Macaca fascicularis: one gene and its partners. The protein of the gene in region 2 binds, or shares a complex with, the protein of the main gene of each other region. Links are inferred from orthologs where the notes say so. Each region holds a gene or a part of one and is shown on either strand. Other genes may lie near its edges. The genes, in order: GTF2A1, POLR2E and GTF2H4.

Region 1 (3,646 bases), on a different chromosome or scaffold from region 2:
AACAAATATTAACTATACATACTATACGTATTACAATAAAAGAGGAGGACTGGATGTTTGATGTTTGTTACTTGCCATTAGGTTCAAGGAATGCAAAAATAAGACACAGAATTTCCTTTAAAACGCTTACACATGGTGTAACAGCACAAAAGACAAAAAAAAAAAGGTAAAATAGACAAAGCACTAACAACTCAAACAGAGACAAGACGTAGTACAAATATGACATAGTGTTATGGGAACACAAGAGAGTGTACCAAATTCAACTTGGGGGACAAAGCATGATCAAATATTACTTATATTATTAGTAAATAATATTTGAGTTTCTGTTTGTGCTTAAAAGCAGCGATCCCCAACCCCTGTTAGAAACCGGGCTGCACAGCAGGAGGTGAGTGGTGGATGAGCCAGCATTACCATCTGAACTCTGCCTCCTGTCAGATCAGCGGCAGCATGGGATTCTCATAGGAGCAGGAACCCTACTGTGAACTGCACATGCAAGGATGGAGGTTGTGCACTCCTTACACCTGATGGTCTGAATTAAAATTTCATCCTGAACCCATCCCCGCTGCCCAGTACGTGGAAAAGCTGCCTTCCGCAAAACCAGTCCCTGGTGTCAAAAAGCTGGGGGACCGCTGCTTTAAGGAGATTAGCCAGGTTTTTCTATTTGTTTAGGGGAAGTGCAGGGAGTTGCCAGACGGCATTCTTAAGAGATGCGTAACATCAAGTGAAACCCAGAAGTGAAAGCAGTACATAATTTTGGAAAGATGTAAATAAACTGGATTAATATTACTGATCTGATCTTGTCTCTATCGTCATACTATTTTACTGACATTTAAAAAAGAGACAGACACATAAACAAATAAAGTACATAAGTTCCTCAAGAAAATAACCATTCCTCTTTCATTTTAGTGCTCACAGCACAAGAATATAACACAAGTAGATCCAAGTGTTTATTTTGATGTAAATGCAGCTAAAGAAAATACCTGGGAGTATGGCAAGAAATAAACCTGAAGACTTCAAAGAAACAAGATCCACAAAAAGATCTTATAAACCATGTTGAGTTGTTTAGGCTTTTCTCAGTAGGCAATGAAAAGTTGTTAAAAGGTTTTAAGATTTTTAGAAAGACAGGCCAGGCGCAGTGGCTCATGCCCATAATCCCAGCACTTTGGGAGGCCAAAGCAGGCAGATCACCTGAAGTCAGGAGTTCAAGGCCAGCCTAGCCACCATGGCGAAAGTCCGTCTCTATTAAAAATACAAAATTTAGCTGGGCGCAGTAGTGCGTGCCTATAATCCCAGCTACTCAGGAGGCTAAGCAGGAGAATCGCTTGAACCCAGGAGGCGGAAGTTGCAGTGAGATGAGATTGTGCCATTGCACTCCAGCTTACGCGACAGAGCGAGACTCTGTCTCAAAAAAAAAAAAAAAGATGGCTATAAATCAGCCAGGTTAGGAGGGCATAAGATGAGAGGCAGAGAAACCATTAAGGAGACAATACAGCATTTACTGACAAATTATGGACACTATGAACTAAGGAAATGAAAAGAGAGGCTGAGAAAAAAAAAAAAACAGTGTCAAACATATTAAGGGACTGCAACCATGGCAAAACTGCAGTTAAAGAAAAAAAAAGGCCGCGTACAGTGGCTCACGCCTGTAATTCCAGCACTTTGGGAGGCCAAGGCGGGTAGATCACAAGGTCAGGAGACCATCCTGGCTAACATGGTGAAACCCCGTCTCTACTAAAAATACAAAAAATTAACCGGGCGTGGTGGTGGGCACCTGTAGTCCCAGCTACTCGGGAGGCTGAGGCAGGAGAATGGCATGAACCCAGGAGGCAGATGCTGCAGTGAGCCAAGACTGCGCCACTGCACTCCAGCCTAGGTGAAAGAGCAAGACTCCATCTCAAAAAAAAAAAAAAAAAAGAAAAGAAAAGAAAAACTATTAACAAGAATTGGTAGGGCTTGATACCTTGGATATTAGAGGTAAGGAAAAGGGAGAATTCTACACAACCAGTTCCAGAAAACAGAGTAAGCACCATAAAACTAGAGTCATGTCTGCCTCATTCACTCCTAAATCTCATGACCCTTATAAATAGCCCGAGACTCAGTAACTGCTTATTGAATAAAGGCCGAATGAACAGCTTAGAAGGCTGGAAGGAGAGTGCTGCCACCTTTGAGGGGATGATGAAGGATGGGCACAGACAACAGTAATTTTTTAATACATGTTTAATACATGTTGAATCTAAGTTAAGCTGTATACAGGAGAAATTAGAAACAACTGGGTCTATAGCACTGAAGAACAGTCTTTTGTGCATATAAGAAGAGGGAAAGTACCCAGGGAATACATACAGAAGAAAACAGAACCCCATACTGATCATAATAGAAGATTATTTTACCTGCTGTATAACAGGAGCTTGTACTCCACCAGGCTGCATCTGTGGTATAACCTGTTGTTGTAGAACCACTGACTGCTGAGGCTGAAAGATATATTGGGCACCATTGGCTGCTCTGACCACCTGAAGAAGCTGGCCTAAAGCAAAAAGCATGCATTCCAAGTTATCATTTTAGCAGTGACCATCTCAAAAGAAATGAATTCATATTTACTTTCATACCACCAAAGGCACAAGAAATTATCAAGAAAACTGACAATTTTATTAAAGACTATCATTCATACACAGTATGCATAATCCTCCCCTTCTCTGACTTCTCGCCATGTTCAAATACATTCCTTAAAATGTTTTATTTTTTATATTTACATCCTCATTCAGCTATTTCCAACAAGGTTTTAACAACAGATTATGAGACTTGACTAAAGCTTACATTATCTTTGCTAACCTTAGGAGTCAAGAAAGAGCAATAAGATCAGACACTTTAGGAGCTGTTCATTTTTAAAGTTTTAAAGGAACAAAAGCTTAATAGCTCATTTAATATCTTGAACCAAACAAAGTACCACAGAACTTTGCTTCAAAATTGGTAAAAGCAATAAAAGTTCGCTAACCAGTTATCATCATACAATTCACACAGAATCAAATTCCCTCAATATGTTCCTTTAGATGACCCAGAATCTTGAATTGATTAAAAAGCAAATTACATCTTATTAAACATGTAGCAAGATAAGCCCCTAATTTCACAAATTTACAATAACAAAAATAACATACATACATAGAATAGAAAATAAATAATAACTATATAATCAAGATGACAGGGGACACTTAAAATCCATGTAAATAAATTTTTCAAGTACTAATATGCCAAAACACATGAGCTAGACATTGGTCTTTTGTCAATGAAGAGATACTATGTATAATAATAGCATACAATAAATTTGCTCTTAATATGCTCTAGGAATTACTTTCATATCACAAGTTCAAATAAGTTTAATACTCACTTGGCATGGTAAATGTGTTTAATAAAAAACTAAGTAAGCATTTTTATATAATCATACTTCAATAAGAGGGTTATCATGCACAGATCAAAGGTTCAAGTACAATCTGCATCTTCTTTACTGTATCCTCAACAACGATTACAGTTGTATGTGTTACAGCCCTCAAATAAAGTTATTTTAATAACCTAAACCAAATGGTAAAAGAAATATTAGTATTTTCTGTCCTTCAAAGAAGACAAAACCTAAGGGCTAGATAGTACAATTTTCTGA
Region 2 (3,746 bases):
TGGCCCAGGCTGGAATGCAGTGGCGCGATCTCGGCTCACTGCAACCTCCCCCTTCCAGGTTCACGAGATTCTCCTGCGTCAGCCTCCCGAGTAGCTGAGACTACGGGCACCTGGCCCAGCTAATTTTTTGTATTTTTAGTAGAGATGGGGTTTCACCGTGTTAGCCAGGATGGTCTCGATCTCCTGATCTCGTGATCTGCCCACCTCAGCCTCCCAAAGTGCTCGGATTACAGGCATGAGCCACTGCGCCCAGTAACGTTATTTTACTAAATCCTGTCTCTGAATGCAAGGGATACCTGGCCTGTTTTTATTCACCATCACTGTAGGTTGCTGAGTAAATGCTGAATTAATGAATGCGTCACTGAGTCAGTGACTGATTGCCTTCACACAGCGAGTGCTGGGCTGGGATCCTCCGTGAATCTGGGGAGGTGAGGTTTGCAAAGACAGGACGGATCTGGGGTGGGGAGATACCCAGGCTAGGCTGGCACTCAGGGGAGAGGACAGAGGTGAAGGGACTTAAAAAGCACCTAGAGATATGCCTAGCTCTACCTAAGACTCTCAGTTAACCGCCTAAAGTAGGGACACTTTTTGCCATTGCACAGGTAGGGAAACTGAGGCCCAAGGGCATTAACCCTGACCTGGCCTGGAGCCAACAGAGGAAACCCTGTACAGTTTGATGCACAAATATGTATAGAGTTCCCACTAGGCTCCCCGACCGTCCCTAGGAGCCGAGCTGCCCCTTTACCCATTCCAGGCCTCAGTTTCCCCGCCCACACTTCGCCCCCGCCTTATGGGATTCTAAACTGTCCCCGCAACGTGGGAGTTGAACGGAAACTACAACTCCCAAGAGGCCGTGCAGCCAAAGACACACGAGAACTACGGAGGGAGAGTCTCGCGCAGCAAACTGCCGTTCTCGCAAGGCTCGGGCTGCCCTTGGCGCTGCCGATCCCGGAAGTTGCTGCATTCAGGCGTTCGCCGACGACAGCCCATCGCGGGGCGGGGTTACGTGGAGGGGGCCTGATTGGGAGTCGGCGCAGGCGCAGTCCGCGCGGGTTCTCGCAGGCAAAACGGGTGCGAGTGGCGGCGATGGACGACGAGGAGGAGACGTACCGGCTCTGGAAAATCCGCAAGACCATCATGCAGGTGAGCCGCGCGTGGTGTTGGGGGCGGGGGCGCGAGCAGCAGGTGCAGGGGCCCGAGGGGAGGTCGAGCTCGGCGTCTCCTCGTACTCCCGTCGCAGCAGCAGCAGCGACGGAGGGCCCGGCCGACACGGGAGACCCCGAGGCCGCCGGGGATCCCAGGCGCTGGGCCCGACCTGAGCCGGCAGCGGGGAAGGGAGGGGGTTTCGAGACGTCTGGGTGCGGGGCTTAGCGGTGGGCGGGCGGCTTGGGCTGGTGCGGCGCACATGGCGGCGAGAGGAGGAAGGTGCGAATGGGGACGGGGGGCGCCCCCAGACCCTGCCCCACTCTGTGATTCAGCGTCGCCATTTGTCCTTGCGCCCTGAACCCCAGGGCGTCTCAGCATCCGAGGCTGGCGGAGTTGGTGGTTGGGAAGCAGCAGGCGAGCTGGGGCTTTCGATGGGGACGTGGAGCCCGGAACCCGTGCCTCGGGGTCTGAGACAGATGGAGGCCACTGGGCCGACTCCGGTTTGGAAACTGGGCAAATGTCTGAGGGCCTGCGGTTCAGGGTCCTCCCTCAGCCGTTGGGGCCGTTTGGGAGCTTTTGTTTTGTCTTGCTTCCCCACCCTATGCCCTTGTCTTTAGCGCAGCCCCCCGCAGCCTGATTCTCCTTCCTCCGGGCCGCAAACATTGTCAGCCTGAAGTCACATCTGTTTCGGTCCCTGTCTTTTTTTTTTTTTTTTTTAAGAGACAAGCTCTCACTCTGTCGCCCAGGCTGCAGCGCAGTGGTGCAGTCATAGCTCACTGCATCCTTGAACTCCTGGCCTCAAGCAGCCCTCCTGCCTCGGCCTCCCTGAGCTCTGGGGTCGCGGACGTGACCCCCCACGCCCCGTCTTTGTCCCTGTCTTTAGGGTAGCTCTGCAAAGTGGTTTGGAGGGCTTTGCCCCCTGCCAGGTTCCTGTGAGGCTGGATAGACGGACGGTCTTGGTCAAGGCTGGACACCTCTGCGAGCCTCTCGGGATCACGCTGGTCCCATCCTGTGGTGTGGGGCTGTGGGGGCCAGGATGGCTGTCATGGGGCACACAGCGAGTGTTCATTCCGTTTGCTGTTCACCTCTGTCCTCTGCAGCAGCCGCAGGTCTGACTTCTGGGTCACGAGCTCTGGCCGCCTTCCTGTCTCTGCCCTGGGGTCAGCTGGTTCTTTCTCTCTGCAGCTGTGCCACGACCGTGGCTACCTAGTGACCCAGGACGAGCTTGACCAGACACTGGAGGAGTTCAAAGCCCAATTTGGAGACAAGCCGAGTGAGGGGCGGCCGCGGCGCACTGACCTCACCGTGCTGGTGGCCCACAACGATGACCCCACCGACCAGATGTTTGTGTTCTTTCCAGGTGAGCAGCGGGTCCCCGGGGGAGTTCTGGTGGAGCCGCCCGAGCACCTGCTGAGGAGCCGGCCGCTAGCACCCCCTCCCTCCCGCCTCGTGCCCAGCGTTTGATCCTCTGCCCAATCTGGGAGGAAAACTTCCCCTCCTCTTCCTTGCTGTGGGCGATGCCGTGGACCTCTGACCCCTCTCATGCGCAGCCTCTTTCTGGTTTCCCTCTCATCGGTCCCCTTTCTTCCTGCCAACCAGGAGAGTCCCATGGACCTCCCTACTCACCCGCAGCCCCTCATGACCTTTGCCCTACCTGTGTTCCTTGGCTCCCTCATCCTGGCCGTTGGGTGCACTTCCAACTTCTTGGCCTGGCCCAGGAGGCCCCGTGTGGGTCAGCGCAGCCTCCTTGTGAGCTGTGGCCCCTGTCTGCCCCAGCCCATTCCTCTGCACCCCATGCCGCCTCTGCCCTGTCAGCGTCCGCTACTCATCCCTCGAGGTTGTGCTCAGGCCGCTTTTCCCGGGACCCCTGGGACCCTCGGTTTCAGCACCTGCACCGTGGAAGTCTCCCCACCTGTCTGCCCCCCCAGGATGGCTCTAGCGCCCTCAGTGGTTGGGGGACTACCAGCGCCTAGGGACACAGCCGCGTGCCCAGAATTAATCAGTGGGGTGGACGGAGCGTGTCTGCCAAGCGGGTGATGCTACTGCTTTTTTTTTTTTTGAAAGTCTCATTCTGTCACCCAGGCTGAAGTGCAGTGGTGCCATTTCGGCTCGCTGCAGCCTCCACCTCCTGAGTTCAAAATTCTCCTGCCTCAGCTTCCTGAGTAGCTGAGACTGCAGGCACCCACCACCATACCTGGCTTTTTTTTTTTTTTTTTTGTATTTTTGGTAGAGAGGGGGTTTCACCATGTTGGCCAGGCTGCTTTCAAACTCCTGACTTCAGGTGATCTGCCTGCCTCGGCCTCCCAAAGTGCTGGGATTACAGGCGTGAGCCACCGCGCCCGGTCTTCTTCTTGTTCTTTTTTTTTTGAGGCTGAGTCTCTCTCTCTGTCGCCCAGGCTGGAGTGCAGTGGCGCAATCTCGGCTCACTGCAACCTCCACCTCCTGGGTTGAAGCAATCCTCCCACCTCAGCCTCCCACAAAAAGCTAGGTTTACAGGCATACACCATCTCACCTGGCTACTTTTACTTTTTTTAGTAGTGTTTATTTATTTGTTTATTTGGTTTTTTGAGACGGAGTCTCGCTCTGTCGCCCAGGTTAGA
Region 3 (3,746 bases), on a different chromosome or scaffold from region 2:
TGAGCCCAGCCTGGCTGAGGAGCTGAGCCAAGTCCTGGCTGACAGCTGCACTGGGGGAGCCCACCATGAAGTGCAAGACCACCTGAAGAACAGAAGAGAACAGGGAGACCATGCCCCAAGGGCCATGGGAAGTAGAAGCACAAGCAGAGACACACACAGTCCCAAGTGCTTACCTCCCATCGCTCCTCGGCATACTTGTCAAGGGAGGGAACATCCCGGGCATGCTTGTCTGGTCCCAGCTGACTTGTGTCATCAGACCAGGCCTTCCCCCTAAGGCCAGGATGGGCCAAGAGTAAGGAACCCTGGCCAGGAGCTCACACCTGTAATCCCTGTACTTTGGGAGGCCAAGATGGGCGGATCACTTGAGGTCAGGAGTTTGAGACCAGACTGGCCAACATGGTGAAACCCCATCTCTACAAAAAATACAAAAAATTAGCTGGTGGTTGCCTGTAATCCCAGTCACTCAGGAGGCTGAGGCAGGAGAATCACTTGAACCCAGGAGGTGGAGGCTGCATTGAGCCAAGATCGCACCACTGCACTCTGCCTGGGTGACAGAGCGAGACTCTGTCTCAAAAACACACAAAACAAAACAACAAAAAAAGAGTAAGGAACCCTGTCTGTGTTCCTTGCCACCCTTCTGCCATCTTTCCACCCTTATCCTCAGGGGCCATGAGTAGGGGACATTTCCTACACCACACACTGCAGCTGATCCAACTTACTCCTAAAGGAGCTCCCAATGCGGAGACCACAAGGTTCCGGGGAGGCCCCCAGGAGCTCCCCCTCCCAAACTGTAATTAGCGGTTTAATAAGCAGCAGTTCCCCTGCCCTAGCTTAGGAAGAGAGAGAAGTGACATACCCACCCAGAAGGGCAATGCGGAGGTTCTGGCGGAAAATGGGGTTGAGGATGAGGCCCTGGAGCCCGCCTGGGAGCAGCTGGGTGTGCCAGATCCGGAGGCCGCTCAGCAGCCCTGTACTTTCCTCCTGAGCCCTGGAACAGAAGCAGAGAGGTGAGCAGGGTATTTGGAGAACAAAAAGGAGGACCATAAAAGCCACCTCTCTGCCTGTTCTGAACTTGCTGATTCTTGGAACACTGTTCCACAGAGTGATATTAGTATCTGAAGACAAATTCTTTACTGCATTACCTATCAGAGCCTTATTACAGATATCACACATAACTCTGTAAGAGGGAAGATACATCTGAAAGCAAGAGGTCAGCTGGGAAATAAAAAAAGGGAAAAGGCAGTATGCAGAGTTTCCCAAATGTATTTATTTTTAAGTTTTGTGATATACCTATTAATACGTCCTGGAAGTGCTCCAAGGAACAGTAGTTTGGGAAATGTAGCTGTTGAGAAATTTGTATCTGGCTGAGACTTACTTGCTGAATTCCTTCTTTACCCACAGGGCTACAGCAGCTTGTGGCAAAGGCTGCTCCAGAAAGAGCATCCGCATCACCCAGTTCTTAGCCAAGGATGGGAGCTCCCTGAACAGGGACAGAGGTCAAAGGTTAATATCAGAAGCTGCATTGTATCTGCATCTCTGCCCTCAATTAACTCTCAAACATCTCATCTCACTCCACCACAACTTTACCAGTCCTGCTGTTTTGGCCCCCACACTTTGGAGCAATTTCCAACCCGCACCCCCAGTCCCCACCCCTACCCCAGCCTGCTACACTTTTACCTGTTATATTTTATTCCAGTCCGCAGACCCCATTACATTTCCCTGCCATGAAGGGGATCCTCACCTGAAGACAGCCAGACAAGTGGCAGGGTGCCCATATAATCGGTCCAATACCCCAGGGCTCAGGCCCCCTAAGAATTCCTGCAGATTCCTGCATTGTAGGTGTACTCGGTTCAGTCCCCTTGAAGGGGTGCTCTCCATCACCTGAGGAATGCAAACATCAGAAGCGCACCCCCACCATCCATGCCAGTGTCACCCCTGACCTTTCTGATTCCAGATCCATCAGTCCCCACAATAACCCCACCTTTTCTGTGGCCTCCTTTCCCATGACACTCAATTCCTCTGGTTTCTCAAAAACCTGACCAATCTCCGTCCCTTTCTTGCCTCCTCACCCTGTTTCTGCCCTTCAACTCCAGTCTTTCCTCTGCTCCAAGTGACAGAATTGTCAACTGTCCTGTGTTTGCAAGATCATTTTGTATTTCAATGACTTGTCTCATCTTTGGCTAAACAGAGACAAAGAAAATTGAGCCCACACCTCTCTCTTCCATCCCTCCTGGTCAGATCAGTCTATAAGCTCCAAATCTACCCGAACTTCCTATCTTCTATCTCTTAGCCCACTTCTGCTAAGTACGGCGGTAACCTCTCCCCTCCATGCTTCCCAAATCTAAAGCCACCTCTTTTCCCTTCCCAAGTCTAGTTCACGCCATTCACCCTGACCCACGCCTTCCGATCTCCTAGCTTCTCCCTGCCTTCCTCCCACTCCTCGCCTCTCACTCACCTGTCTCTCTCATACCTCTGCCACTCCCGCCCTCCTAGGTCCCCTCACCACTCTGTCGATCCTCCTCGCGCACCCCGAGTCTCGGGCCGTCGCTTAATCGGAGCCAAAGTCTCGCATTGGCTCCTGGAAACTGAGGGAAAGATGGTGAAAAAATGCGAAGAAAAGATGGGGAAAGCGACGAAAGATTTCACAGGCAAGAGCCCAGAATGGAGAATTCAGAAGAGAAGGGAGGTAAGGGGAGGAGTGGAAAAGTGAAGAGGATTAGAATAGACGGTGCACACTCCCGGCGCGGGGGATGCTGGGAATTGGAGTCTTGTCTTTGCTCTCCTTAGAGCCGGCTGAAGTGCGTCTGACTACAAATCCCGAAAGGCACGGTGGGGAAGCCGAAAGGCAAGGAGCCGGCTTTTAATTGAGAGAGCGGGAGACACCAGAAGCCGGACCAGTTGGTTCTGCCAGAACCAACTCCGCCCACGCTGCTAACGGCGCATGTAACCGGATGGAGCGGGAGGCGGGTCGGGGAAAGTAGAAGTGCCTGGAGGGCTTCCGTGCGGAGGCGCGCTATGGCGACTTGGTGGTGAACCGATTAGACTTAGGGACCACAAAACTGGATTCCGTGAGCACAATTACTCCCCGTAAAATTGGGATAATGCACACTCCGGGCCGGACGCGGTGACTCACTGCTGTAATCCCTGCACTTTGGGAGGCCAAGGCGGGCGAATCACCCGAGGTCAGGAGTTCGAGACCAGCCTGGCCAATATGGTGAAATCCCGTCTTAACTAAAAATACAAAAATTAGCCGGGCGTGGTGGCGGGCACCTGTAATCCCAGCTACTCGGGAGGCTGAGGCAGGTGAATCGCTTGAACCCTAGAGGCGGAGGTTGCAGCGAGCCAAGACAATGCCCTTACACACCAGCCTGGGCGACAAGAGCGAAACTCCATCTCAAAAAAAAAAAAAAAAGAAAAAGGAAAAAGAAAGAAAGCGTACACACTCCGGAGAGTTTCCACGAGTTAACGATTAACATGATCCAGTGCACCTTACTTGGCGGTAAGTACTCAATAAATCTTAATTTCTTCTCAAATTTTTTTCTCCACCACTCCTCAAACCGTCTACTTAGAAAACCCAGATAAATTCAGTTTTTAGGACACTGACTGTTTGCTGTGATTTGATTTATGAACCTACTACAGAGAAAGGCAGAGGTCTTCACCCAAACCCAGAACTACACATTTCCCCAAATTCCTATAAGCAAATTTTGTTATTCCCATTTTATAGACTGGAAGACTGGAGCCTGGCG

The links.
Region 1: POLR2E (region 2) and GTF2A1 share a complex: the UniProt entries of both Homo sapiens proteins name them as parts of the TBP-based Pol II pre-initiation complex. The link is inferred for Macaca fascicularis from reciprocal best matches to the Homo sapiens genes POLR2E and GTF2A1.
Region 3: POLR2E (region 2) and GTF2H4 share a complex: the UniProt entries of both Homo sapiens proteins name them as parts of the TBP-based Pol II pre-initiation complex. The link is inferred for Macaca fascicularis from reciprocal best matches to the Homo sapiens genes POLR2E and GTF2H4.

The regions. Positions count from the first base shown.
Region 1 is NC_088381.1:149,163,760-149,167,405, forward strand, and holds part of GTF2A1 (transcription initiation factor IIA subunit 1), read right to left. Parts: intron 2,522-3,646; coding exon 2,388-2,521; intron 1-2,387. UniProt on the Homo sapiens protein: TFIIA is a component of the transcription machinery of RNA polymerase II and plays an important role in transcriptional activation. TFIIA in a complex with TBP mediates transcriptional activity.
Region 2 is NC_088393.1:1,666,039-1,669,784, reverse strand, and holds the start of POLR2E (DNA-directed RNA polymerases I, II, and III subunit RPABC1), read left to right. Parts: upstream 1-1,041; 5' UTR 1,042-1,086; coding exon 1,087-1,143; intron 1,144-2,331; coding exon 2,332-2,506; intron 2,507-3,746. UniProt on the Homo sapiens protein: DNA-dependent RNA polymerase catalyzes the transcription of DNA into RNA using the four ribonucleoside triphosphates as substrates.
Region 3 is NC_088378.1:141,754,894-141,758,639, forward strand, and holds the start of GTF2H4 (general transcription factor IIH subunit 4), read right to left. Parts: upstream 2,701-3,746; 5' UTR 2,504-2,700; intron 2,181-2,503; 5' UTR 2,175-2,180; coding exon 2,070-2,174; intron 1,882-2,069; coding exon 1,742-1,881; intron 1,481-1,741; coding exon 1,376-1,480; intron 989-1,375; coding exon 857-988; intron 271-856; coding exon 174-270; intron 83-173; coding exon 1-82. UniProt on the Homo sapiens protein: Component of the general transcription and DNA repair factor IIH (TFIIH) core complex, which is involved in general and transcription-coupled nucleotide excision repair (NER) of damaged DNA and, when complexed to CAK, in RNA transcription by RNA polymerase II.